3 linked regions of the Neurospora crassa OR74A genome follow. The protein of the gene in region 1 purifies or fractionates together with the protein of each later gene. This does not show direct contact. Links are inferred from orthologs where the notes say so. Each region holds a gene or a part of one and is shown in the gene's direction. Other genes may lie near its edges. The genes, in order: NCU09880, NCU06622 and NCU02685.

Region 1 (3,703 bases):
CGGTGAGGACATGGGCTGCTGGGGCATCGCCAGTGAGCGCTAGGGGCATGTCGCGGGATTGAACAATCATGGCGCCGTCAAGCTCAGAGGGGTCGAGGTCCATGGCGTCGCCCGTTGTCCCGGGCGCGGCAGATGCCTCCGGCAACGGTGCGCTGTGGGTTTTGAGGCTGTCGTCGTCATCGTCGTCGATGATGCTTAGCGAGGCGAGATTCTGTGGTGTGGCTGGCGTGGAGCTTTGGAGTTCTTCAAGGTATTCTTTGCTGTACCGAGGCTTCTCTTCGTCGGCGCCAAATGTGCCGAATCGTGCGGTCAGGGCGGACTTGCGAAGCGCGTTCTTCTCGGCAACTCGTTGGCTCAGCGACTTTTTGCTTGGGGCGCTGACCACGTCGCTGCTGGCAGTTGTTGTCGTATCATTGCCGCCATCTTCCGTGTCGCCCTCGCTGGCTCCGAATGATAGTTTTGAGATGCGCTTCTTCTTGCTGGAGACTGAGCGGCCGAAACCGGGCCGTACTACGAGCGGCACACCAGTGTCCTCCTCGGCTTCTGTTACCTCGGGTGCCGTACTTGTGCTGGTTGACGTAGGTTGGATTGCGTCGCCGCTGGTTTCTTGTGGATTATCGTTACCGTCGTTGATCTTGATCGTTCTTCGTAGTGACGAAGATTTAGTAGGCTTGCTGCGCCCAAACTTGGTCGGTCCTTGCGGTACTGGTTCTGTTCGAAGGCGTATCAGCTTGCTTGTTCTTTGGTTTGGTATCAGCACTGAGATTTTCTATGCTGGAAAGGGATGGGCATGGCCATATAGCAACTTACGTTCGTTCTTCGGCTCCTCTCCTCCAAGCACCGTAGGAAGGTCGCCATCCTCATCGTCAAAGGTCTGGATAATGCGTGGCTTGCGCTTTCCAAAAGAGCTCATTTTTGTGATGATCGACTTGAGTAAAGTGTAGAATGGAAGTAGGTTGTCTGACAGGGAGTTTGTAATACAGTGATGTAGTATTGAGGCGGGCGTGTTGTTTACAGGTAAGTTTGTAGTGCAAAAAGGTGTCCAGACAGCTAGGAAGCTTCGAAATGCACCCTGGAGAATGACGCTGGTGGGCGACTGGATGTCACCACTGCACTGAACACTGCAATCACCCAAAGACGGGCAACGCGAATTGCGGTTTCTTATCTTATCAGTGTCCCCACGTGATGGCCTGGCGGCCGAAAATCACTGGGGATGGTCGCGATTGCACGCGCTGCACAAGGCCCGCCTTCCAGGTTGTTTCAGTGGAGAGTTCCCAGCCAGAACGACGCCATTGCCATTCATTGCAGCAACTCTCTCGAGACCATCCCAGACAACCAACACAACCTCAAGATACAATGGCGCCCGCACAACCTGAACTGAAGAAGGTAAGAACTTACTCTTGGAGAATTGCCTTTCACGCTGAATGGCAGCTGGCTGGTCGAGACTATGCCATTGTCGCATCTCGAACTCCATGTTATTGTTTGTTTAGTATGGTGTAGTGAGCTAACCGACCACTTTCCAACCAGTACCTCGACAAGAGGCTCTTCGTCCAACTCAACGGCAGCCGCAAGGTCATTGGTGTTCTCCGTGGCTACGATGTACGAGATCTCCCCTTTACGAATTCGAACATGATGATTGACGGTTCGCGACGTCATAGGTCTTCTTGAACATTGTTTTGGACGATGCTGTTGAGGAGAAGGATGGTGGTGAGAAGGTCAAGCTTGGCATGGTGGTATGTTTATCATTGTAGAAAGGTGCTGACGTGTCTCCTGCTGACGAATGTGCACACAGACCATTCGTGGTAACTCCGTTGTGATGATGGAGGCTCTCGAGAGAATCGGCGGCGATGAGAGGGGAGGACAGCGCGGCTAATCAACAATCATCTTCTCGCAACACGATAAAACGACCCTGCGCATCTACAAACGCCTACATCAAAAGGCGAGGCATCGGAATAAGCGGATGGCAATTGACGGGATTTGACTATATACCAAGGCGATTTACACTTTACGACGACATCTACAGTGTTCCACGCGGTCTTGGACGGTGAAAAGCTAGGTGGGTTGGCTGGTACGGCGTTCAGTTTCACACGAGGCATGTATTCGGGAAAGCTGCATTATCTTCAACTTAGAAAGGGAAACATCTGCGGCGGTGGTCGAAGAAAAGATACCCAAAGGATTTTTTTGTTTTTCATCACGTACAGCTCTTCTCCGACAACAGCTGCTTCCACGTCTTCTCGTCATAACCGTCCACCATGCGGTCGCCGTACATCCGCACCCAGCCTCGAATCCCGCCCGTCATGACCTGCGACTGAAGATCGCCGCCTACTTCGTTGATATAGTCTTGCATCCAGGCGGCACATCGAGGGCCCCGACCAGCGGAGGAGCCTGGGGGAAGAAGCATCGGTGTTAGAGAGGGTCGGCGGTAGAGGTACGAGTTCAAAAGAGCATAGGATTGATTGGACTCTGTCCCAAGAGTCAATGACAGAGAAAGTCAAACACGTACCACAATAGAAGACCACCTTTTGGATCCCGGCCTGTTTGCACAAAGCGTACAAGCTCTTGCGCGTGGGGAAGAAGCTGTGGGCGGGCAGGTTGATTGATGAGCTGACAGTTCCCCCGGCGCAGTCTGTCCGGCGACAATCGACAAGCAGCAATCTGCGCGATTGGGGCATGTCATCGACATGTTCTTGCTGCTCAAGAAGCTCGAGGACAGTCTGGGGCTCGATATGGACCGGCGTCGAAGTTGGCTCTGGAAATGCTGCCCACCACGGTGTACCATCCTCGCGCCTAGCCATGCGCAAGCAGTGTTCGTGAACGTGTATCGTCATGTTGAGGCCGTTGCTGAGTTGGTTTCTCATTGACTGATTTCTTAGGTTAAGCGGAAGAAATGTACCGTTGATGCATTGTCCGGTATATGAAGGGCAGTCAGGGGTAAACTCTTTGTTTGCCACACTGGATTGGGGCGGCTCTGAGATCTAGTCACATCTTTCAGCAAGCCACGCCGCCAATACTCATCTCGCGGGACATGTCCTCGGCAGTCACGTCCTATCATAAATCACTTGTCTCGTACGATCGGATCCTCTGATGCCGTAGATGGGATACCGCATCCGGAGGTAGTCCTTCCTATCCTATTACTCCATGGAGTTTTTCAGGAGATCGCGGCTAAGGGGGGACGACAAGATGATTTCTTCACCAGCTCATCAACGCGACATACTGCCTGGTCTCGTCGCTTCTATGCAATTTAGTAACCATGAGCATGTTATTTTTCTTATTACCCATATTCATGCCCCTCGCCATTTACCCGTAGATAACTGATAGCTCCGACATCTTGGTTTACTCGGCCCGGCATATAGGGGGATATCACATAACGAATTGTTGAGGTGTGTAAGTTGCAGCACCAGGACACCTGCGACAAAGCGCACCAATCAATATACATGTCGTTGTATGGAAGATTGATAAAAGGTTAAACCACGGCGTTTATAAGGTATACAGTAGCAAGACGCTCCCTCCAACAGCCCAGCGACACCTGAGAGCTATTCTGATTTATACGTCACGGCGTAACTTCCACCAAAGAATGCCCACATCTCCCAAATCAGTCTGTGCTCGCTTCGTTGTTCCATTCATTCATCATAGTACTCCTCCTCGAGCTCCTCTTCATACTCCTCTCTCGCCTCCTCGAGCTCTTCCTGGTCACTACTGCTTG
Region 2 (3,906 bases), on another chromosome or scaffold:
GGATCCCGCTTCCGGAGGCCCAAGCCCCGGTCGAGACCCAGGTCGAGCTTGAAACCGAGCGCCGCTTATCAGCTTCAACTCCGAAAGAGGCGAGCGTTGAAGCGGCAGCAGAAGAACCGGTTCCGGAACATTCGCCCCGGGCCTCCCCTCTTAGAGCGGCCGTCACTCGAGCTGCGCCGACACCAGCCAAACTAAACAAGTCTCTTCCTCCGCCGCCATCTGAGTCCCCAGATCACCTGTCTCAGCCGCTTGCTACACCTCAGGCACCTACAGTCGCGAGTGTACCTCAAGAACAGCCAAGCGTCTACCGCTCGCCTTCAATGCAATCCTCGAATGCAGAGAACCGACCCCCATCGCCGAAGCAAATGACCCCAATAGTCGAACGTCATGCTCTAGCACCAATGGCTACCACACCGGACAGGCCCACTTCTCCTTCCAAACGGACGATTCTGGGTGCCCTTCAAAGCACTAAGCCTTGGACCGCGGCAGATCTAGACAATATATTCTCGCCCAACAAGAACGACTACGATAAGGAAGACGGCATTGACAAACTCTTGCACAAGGGCAGTGAGCTCACGAGCCCGGAAAAGCGGATGACCGTGGAGGAGTGGATCTATCATAATGCCAACTTGGCTGAGCAGAGATTGAAGAGGGAATGCGAGGAGATGGTCCTGCTGTTTGAGAAGCAGGGTGCCAGAGCGATGGAAGCTTTGGAGGGGCTTATCGTCGAGTAGTGAGTGAGTGGCACGACCCTTGGGCACCAAATTATCAGCATAAAAGGACGAGAGGTGTGGATTCGCATACTAAATCCCGCTTCTGGTTCAAGGTCGGGCAAATTCTGTGTGTGTGTGATACCAGGTAATGGACATGGAACTTGCGTGATGCGTTACATAGCAAGCTTATTGTGTCAGTGACTTTGGCTTCTGGTTTGAGTAGCATGGAAGGCGTCATTCGACGTCCGGTTAGACGATGTAGGGATAGCATTGTTGGTGACGTTACAATGGAATTGCACAATAGTGTGCATCATAACGAAACAAGCCCTAAAGTTACAGCTGCAGGTTCTTTAGATGATGCCGGGTTGGGGATCTGGACTAAAGAGCGAGTGTGATGAAAGTGGTTTTGGTTTTTCCATAGCGGGCGGTTAGTGGTTGTGAAAGCGTTTACACCAAGAAGTAGAACGAAAACTTGACAGCAACCTGGCGAGATAGCGAGTAAGAAACATTTTAGGCCAACAAGAGGGCAGAAAATGAACATATAATATCTGACTCTAGTACCCTAGTCTTTCAGACACAAACCGTGTCGACTCTGTTTAGGAGCTCCGTGTGGTTGCGACTTGCAAGTAATCCGACGCGCAAGGGTTAGGGTTACTACATCGTCCGTTTTTTTTTTGCGGCGCTGTCCATGACTTCATTGGGGCAGGCAGCCTTGTCAATCTACTTTGGTAACTTCACTACAGCCACCAATTACGAACCACGCGACGCGCTTCAACCTTTTGCTTCTTTAGTTGACTTCCATCAATTTCAATCTCGAAGGCGAACACAGGACATACGGCAATTCTCCTGGCTGTAATCAATAATTAATCACCTGTTTGCAAAGCCCCTTTGCGCCGCCGTATTACAAAAGCACCACCAGCAACAACCATCACAAGGTACCGACCGGCATCGCAGTAGTAGTAGCAGCGACAGCTCGACAGCTCCCCGTCGTCGTTGCACTCCCGTCGTCACAATGAGGCTGACGGCAGACCTTATCAACAACTCCCTTTCCTATCTCAATCCGCTTAAGGAGCGAGAGATAGACCTCCGAGGTGCGTTCCATCGAGAAGAGCAGATACTGCACGGTTGATCTTCAAGTTTCCAAAAGCGCGTACAAAGAACAGAGTTGATATATCGAAAACCTATGTTGGGTTGGGATACATGCAATAGGACACAGAATACCTGCTATTGAGAACTTGGGCGTTGCTGGGGTAAGTTTCTCCCTTCTCCTGGTTCTTCCTCTACTGCTAGTCCTGCTACTGGTAGCCCGTTTCAACCAAATTACCAATTAATGCAGTTTGCTAATCCGGTCGCTACTACAGCCCCACGATGCCATTGATTTCACCGACAACGATATCCAAGTGCTGGGCAACTTCCCGCTCTCTCCCCGCATACGCACCCTCCTGCTCGCCCGCAACAGGATCGCCCAGATCCAGTCGACCCTACCGAATGCGACCCCGAACCTGAAGAACCTCGTCCTGGCGTCCAATAATATTGGCGAGCTGGCGGATTTGGAGGTGTTGGGAAGGTTTCCAAGGCTTACGCACTTGGTCTTGACGGACAACCCCGTTACCAAGAAGGAGGTACGTCACACAACGCCCTTTCGTCGCCCAGTGTTATGCGGCTGAGAGAGAATCGGAGACGGGGGTGGCAAATGGAATGAATGTACGGAATGGCTGACAATGTTTGTCGACACACAGAACTACCGCTACTGGGTCCTCTGGCTGTGCCCTCAGGTTCGCTTTCTCGATTACGTCAAGGTCAAGGACGCCGAGAGGCAGAAGGCGAAGGAGCTGTTTGGAACCGCTGATGAGCCGACGGAGTTGGCCAAGACGGTATGTACCTTGTCTTCTTTTTCAATGTCATGACAACCCTGCTAACATGCAAACAGATAAAGGGAATCAAGAGCAAGACCTTTGACGTTGGCGCCAGCTCCGCCAACGGTGCGGCCGGCAGTGGTCCTTCCTCGAAACTTTCGCGTCTCAAGCTCACAGAGAAAGAGAAGAAGAAGTTGCAGGATCTGATCAAGAAGGCCGACAGCTTGGAGGAAATCATCAGATTGGAGAAGGCGCTCAACGAGGGACGGCTGCCACCTGGCATTATCGCCGAGGATGACGATGCCATGGAGGAGTAAGGAGGAACCAAGGTGACGGGCACCTGACGAACGTGGTAGATCAGGTTGCTATATGTTCGTGATATGATGGCTTGCAGAGGTGACGAAAAGGGGGAGGACGGCACTTCAAAGAGCTTACCATTTGTCGGCGTTCGGTTCTAGATGGGGCTTACTGCAAAATAACTGTATACCAAATTGCGCAAATTTGCTGGGTTGAAACAGAGATAGTGAAACATGATAGTGGTGTCATGATTTCACCGCAGCAATCGGAGCGGCCTTGAGGAAAGGGACGTTAGGACGAGCATATCAAGGGCCCATGGTCTTTGATTCGGCAACTCTACACCTCTTAACGTCTTGTACTCGCCCGGATATTCAACACGTCTATTCGGCTCTGTATGTATGGACAGTCACTCAACTAACCCGTCATATCCACATCCCCATCATGACCCCGATACTGCTGTGACGCCGCCTGCCTCATCTCCATCTGCAACTGCGCGCTGGGATCCTCGTCCGACGTAGTAGCTGGCGGTGATGCCGACAAGATACCCCTATTCATGCCGCTCATCACACCAGGAGTAGAACTAAATGGTCGTCCCGAAGCCGACGACATGCCCACCACACCCGTCGTGACACCCATATTGGTAATACCGGTATTAACCCCGCCAGCACCGAGTCCATTCACCGGCGCCGCCAGCCCTCCAATGCTTCCACTAGCACCGCTTCCTGTACCAGCAGGCAACCCCCCATTCATAGACATCAAGATGGACGTTTGCTGCAACCCGCCGGACCCCTTTTGCTTCTTGGCATTCGGCAGCATCGCCATCCTATCCCGCTCATCTCCATGATCACCCACTTGTCCCTGCTCCAAAGATAGCATAACCCCCTCGGGAGCTGCCAGTCCTCCCATAACCGGTCCAGGCGCCAAAACGACCGCGGCGGCGGTCCCCGCAGGAGGAACCACAACGTCGCTCCCGCCCTTGACGCGGGCCCGGGCGGCCGCTGCTTGCGCCTTGATGGCTTTGTAGGAAGAAGTCTTGGGCA
Region 3 (4,145 bases), about 3.2 Mb from region 1:
CGGTCTGCAAACTCTGAAAAGTTTCTGGTGGTCTAGGAAATCCGGTGATGCCGCCGGCTTCTGCCTCAAGAGGTCAAGGTTTTTCTTGACCACTAACAGTTTCTCTTGCTTCTTTTGTATTTTGAGGTTGGTAAGATGGTTGAGAAGGTAGTTAGACTGTATTTCTGTTGGTTGAGGGACAGAAACCTCATGATGACTGCGCTTTTGTGAGAGTGTGTGGTATTCTTTGCGGGCTTTGATGTTCGCGCGCAATGCTTCGAGGAATTCCCTATACAGACCTCTAGTATCTTGTGAGTAGGAGGGTACTTCACTTGACTCGGTGAGAGACAACGGTTCTGTCAGCGTTGCTCCGTCTTTCAAGCCCGAACTGAGGTGAAGTGTCAAGATCCGTCTGATATGGGCGGCTTCCTCGCGAGGCCTGGTGTATGGTTGCAGCACCTTCTGAACAGCTTCTAGCGTTTCTCGAAAGGAATCCATCGTGTAGATAATTCCAACTTGACCTGTCTATCAGTATTGGCTTCTTTTCATATCAAGGCATAAAACAGCTTATTGGTCAAATTGTGAATGACTGTGATCATCGATGAGCTCAGCCCGATGTGAGCAGGACGGACATAAGAGAGCGTGGTATGAACCAGAGGTATCTCAGTTTCCAGCATTCAAATGATTGTTCAAATAGCTCGTGAAGTAATACGATTCGTCCCTCTTGGTGGTATGAAAAAGAGGTATCGTAGAAGTCGGAGCCCATGGATCAGACTTCTGCCACCTATCTCGAGTTGCTCGATGGGTTGAGATCGTGTTGATGATTGTGCCTACCACCTTTAGGATGTTTGTTAGTGCACCTTGACCAACCTCTACACACCCCACGGGGTCTCCGCCTATGCACTAACACCGCCCTGACAGCAAGGTCAAGCTCCAGCTGTTCAGTGTGTTTACGTGCTGTCCAGGCAGCCAATGAGAGTCGACGACGGCAGCATTGCATAAAAATTTCCAGCCGTCATGACTGGAGCCACACCTATCTCTGCACCGCTTGCCACCCCTACCAAGCCAAGTAAGTTCCTGCTGGCTGGCAAGAACCACGCCTCTGGCTCAACCTTTCCAAACTGAACGCCAAACTCCAACCTTCCTTTCGCGACAACCGCGACAGACTTCTGTCGGAAACCCATCATCTCTGTTTCCGCCCGACCCCAGATTCTTGATCTACCCATCGATGCGACCGGCGAAATACTACTTATCAGCCAGCAAAACCAACGCTTGGTTCGGGCCGGGCTCGGGCTAATTTATCGCCACTGCGTGCACGCAAGAACAAGCACATTTTATCCCCAAAGGCCGAGTTGAAGATATCACCAGATCGAGACTCTTCCATCCGCTACGACCTCTACTTCGATCTTGACGTATACCTCAAAACATTTCATAGATTTCTTTTTTTCTTCTCCGAGCTGGCAAGATGACGGACCACCACCGCGATGTGTCGCAATATAAATACTCGGCCATGTCCAACCTGGTTCTCCAGGCGGACCGTCGTTTCGTCACGAGGCGTACCGATGAGGCCACGGGAGACCCCGAGTCCCTAGCCGGGCGTCTGTCCATCAAAGATATGGGCTCCAGAGTCGCTCGCGACTCAGCACCAAAGCCCAAGAAGGCGGGCGCCATGCCCGACGTCGAGCGGGGCAGTCTAAGGGAAGGTGCTGATATCCTGCAACGAGAGAAGAAGAAGGGCAAACTCGAGTCCGCTACAAGAGGTGGAGGTATTCTTACTGGCGCCGACGCGCTTATCGAAGGTCTCCGCTACCGCCCTCGAACGCAGCCGACGCGCGATGCCTTCAACCTTATCCTCACCATTGTCGCCGAACACTTGGGCGACGTGCCCCATGAGGTCGTTCGCAGTGCTGCTGACGCGGTTCTCGAATATCTCAAGGATGACGACCTGAAGGATTTTGACAAGAAGAAGGAGGTTGATGATATTCTTGGAGTCTCGATGGGGCCCAAGCAGTTCAACGAGCTCATAAATCTCGGCAAAAAGATCACGGATTACGACGCTCAAGATGAAGACGAGGATGCGGGCGATGCTAGGCAAGAAGGCGACGACGAGATTGACGGTCGCCAGGGTGTTGCGGTCAACTTCGAGAACGATGAAGATGATGATGGCATGGTTGATGTTGTTCGGGACGAATCTTCCGATGAGGAGGATTTTGCGGAGGATGAAGAGCTGCCTGACAGCAACGAGGTGGTCGATGGTGAAGGAGGTCAGGAGGAGGTGGTCGAAGATATTCTGAACGGCGAGGCCATGGTCATCGATTCAGCACCGGAAGGGAAGAAAAGCGGGTCTGACGACAATTCCATACCCGCCAGAGATATCGATGCGTTCTGGTTACAACGCCAGATTGGCCGGCTATATCCCGACGCACATATCCAGCATGATAAGACAATGTCTGCGCTCAAGACTCTTTCCGGCGAGCCCGATGAGCCAGGTGGTGAAGAAAAGCAGCTCCGCGACATCGAAAACGACTTGATGGAGCTTTTTGATTACGAACACCACGAGCTTGTGCAAAAACTCATTGCTAACCGGGAGAAGGTCGTATGGCTTACTCGGCTGGCCAGAGCTGAGAATGAGGAGGAGAGAAATACGATCAAGCGGGAGATGGCTTCTGAGGGTCTGCGTTGGATTCTGGACGAGCTGGAAGGCAAGACCGACGGCGGCCAGAAGAAGATCAAGATGGACATCAAGATGGACATTGACTCGGGGGCCTTTGCTGATAAGGAAGGCCAAAAGCCTGAGCGTCCCGAGGGACAGCTAGTCGGAGGTCTGCAGCCACGCAAGTTAATAAACCTGGAGAACCTCATATTCGATCAGGGTAACCACCTTATGACCAATCCCAAAGTACGACTTCCCGAGGGCTCGACAAAGCGCACCTTCAAGGGCTATGAAGAAATCCATGTGCCCCCACCAAAGAAGCGCAACGACCCCAGCGACGCCCATGTCCCGATTTCTGAAATGCCTGAGTGGGCTCAGATACCTTTCAGCACGGCCAAATCGTTAAACAAGATTCAGTCAAAGTGCTATCCTACTGCCTTTGGTGATGATGGAAACATGCTTGTCTGTGCTCCGACGGGCTCTGGCAAGACCAACGTGGCGATGCTCACCATCCTTCGTGAGATCGGGAAGCATAGAAACGAAGCCGGCGAGATCGACCTGGACGCCTTCAAGATCGTCTATATCGCGCCCTTGAAAGCCCTTGTTCAAGAACAGGTCGGCAACTTCGGAAAGCGTCTCGAACCATTCGGTATCAGGGTGGCCGAACTCACTGGCGATCGGCAACTTACTAAGCAACAGATCTCGGAAACGCAGATTATCGTTACGACCCCCGAAAAATGGGATGTCATCACGAGAAAGGCTACTGATCTCTCCTACACCAACCTGGTCCGCCTGATTATTATTGACGAGATCCATCTCCTTCACGATGACCGTGGTCCTGTGCTTGAAAGCATTGTCGCCAGAACCATCCGCAAGACAGAGCAGACCGGTGAGCCTGTTCGCATTGTGGGCTTGTCTGCCACTCTGCCCAACTACCGCGACGTAGCGAGCTTCCTGCGTGTGGATACGAACACCGGGCTCTTCCACTTCGATGGTACCTTCCGCCCTTGCCCCCTCCGTCAAGAGTTTATCGGCGTCACGGACAGAAAGGCCATCAAGCAGTTAAAGACCATGAATGATATCACCTACCAAAAGGTCTTGGAGCACGTAGGACAGAATCGCAATCAGATGCTCATCTTTGTCCATTCCAGAAAGGAAACGGCAAAGACCGCCAGGTACATCAGGGACAAGGCTTTGGAAATGGACACCATCAACCAGATCTTGAAGCACGACGCCGGAACCCGTGAAGTCCTGAGCGAAGCCTCCAACTCTGTCAACAACACCGATCTGAAGGATATCTTGCCCTATGGCTTCGGTATCCATCATGCTGGTATGAGTCGTGCTGATCGTACCGACGTCGAAGATTTGTTTGCCAGTGGCCATATCCAGGTTCTTGTGTGCACAGCCACTCTTGCTTGGGGTGTCAACCTTCCAGCCCATACCGTCATCATCAAGGGCACGCAAGTGTACTCGCCTGAAAAAGGTAGCTGGGTTGAGCTCAGTCCTCAGGATG

The links.
Region 2: the proteins of NCU09880 (region 1) and NCU06622 purify together in Saccharomyces cerevisiae (affinity purification with mass spectrometry; 3 studies listed by BioGRID). This does not show direct contact. The link is inferred for Neurospora crassa OR74A from reciprocal best matches to the Saccharomyces cerevisiae genes SMX2 and LEA1.
Region 3: the proteins of NCU09880 (region 1) and NCU02685 purify together in Saccharomyces cerevisiae (affinity purification with mass spectrometry; 5 studies listed by BioGRID, with this or other methods). This does not show direct contact. The link is inferred for Neurospora crassa OR74A from reciprocal best matches to the Saccharomyces cerevisiae genes SMX2 and BRR2.

The regions. Positions count from the first base shown.
Region 1 is NC_026501.1:6,357,805-6,361,507, reverse strand, and holds NCU09880 (small nuclear ribonucleoprotein SmG), read left to right. Parts: upstream 1-1,242; 5' UTR 1,243-1,356; coding exon 1,357-1,386; intron 1,387-1,527; coding exon 1,528-1,599; intron 1,600-1,658; coding exon 1,659-1,733; intron 1,734-1,792; coding exon 1,793-1,873; 3' UTR 1,874-2,191; coding exon of another isoform or gene 2,192-2,385; 3' UTR 2,386-2,503; coding exon of another isoform or gene 2,504-2,828; 3' UTR 2,829-3,132; downstream 3,133-3,703. Other genes in the region: NCU09879 (hypothetical protein), read right to left, coding at 1-711, 811-913; NCU10125 (hypothetical protein), read right to left, coding at 2,192-2,385, 2,504-2,828; NCU09881 (hypothetical protein), read right to left, coding at 3,621-3,703. UniProt on the Saccharomyces cerevisiae protein: Plays a role in pre-mRNA splicing as a core component of the spliceosomal U1, U2, U4 and U5 small nuclear ribonucleoproteins (snRNPs), the building blocks of the spliceosome.
Region 2 is NC_026504.1:1,833,337-1,837,242, forward strand, and holds NCU06622 (U2 small nuclear ribonucleoprotein A'), read left to right. Parts: upstream 1-1,426; 5' UTR 1,427-1,725; coding exon 1,726-1,804; intron 1,805-1,922; coding exon 1,923-1,963; intron 1,964-2,074; coding exon 2,075-2,335; intron 2,336-2,452; coding exon 2,453-2,587; intron 2,588-2,643; coding exon 2,644-2,886; 3' UTR 2,887-3,280; downstream 3,281-3,906. Other genes in the region: NCU06621 (hypothetical protein), read left to right, coding at 1-734; NCU06623 (hypothetical protein), read right to left, coding at 3,281-3,906. UniProt on the Saccharomyces cerevisiae protein: Involved in pre-mRNA splicing. Associates to U2 snRNA in a MSL1 dependent manner and is required for normal accumulation of U2 snRNA. Required for the spliceosome assembly and the efficient addition of U2 snRNP onto the pre-mRNA.
Region 3 is NC_026501.1:3,198,484-3,202,628, reverse strand, and holds the start of NCU02685 (pre-mRNA splicing helicase), read left to right. Parts: upstream 1-1,330; 5' UTR 1,331-1,444; coding exon 1,445-4,145. Other genes in the region: NCU02686 (hypothetical protein), read right to left, coding at 1-164, 279-477.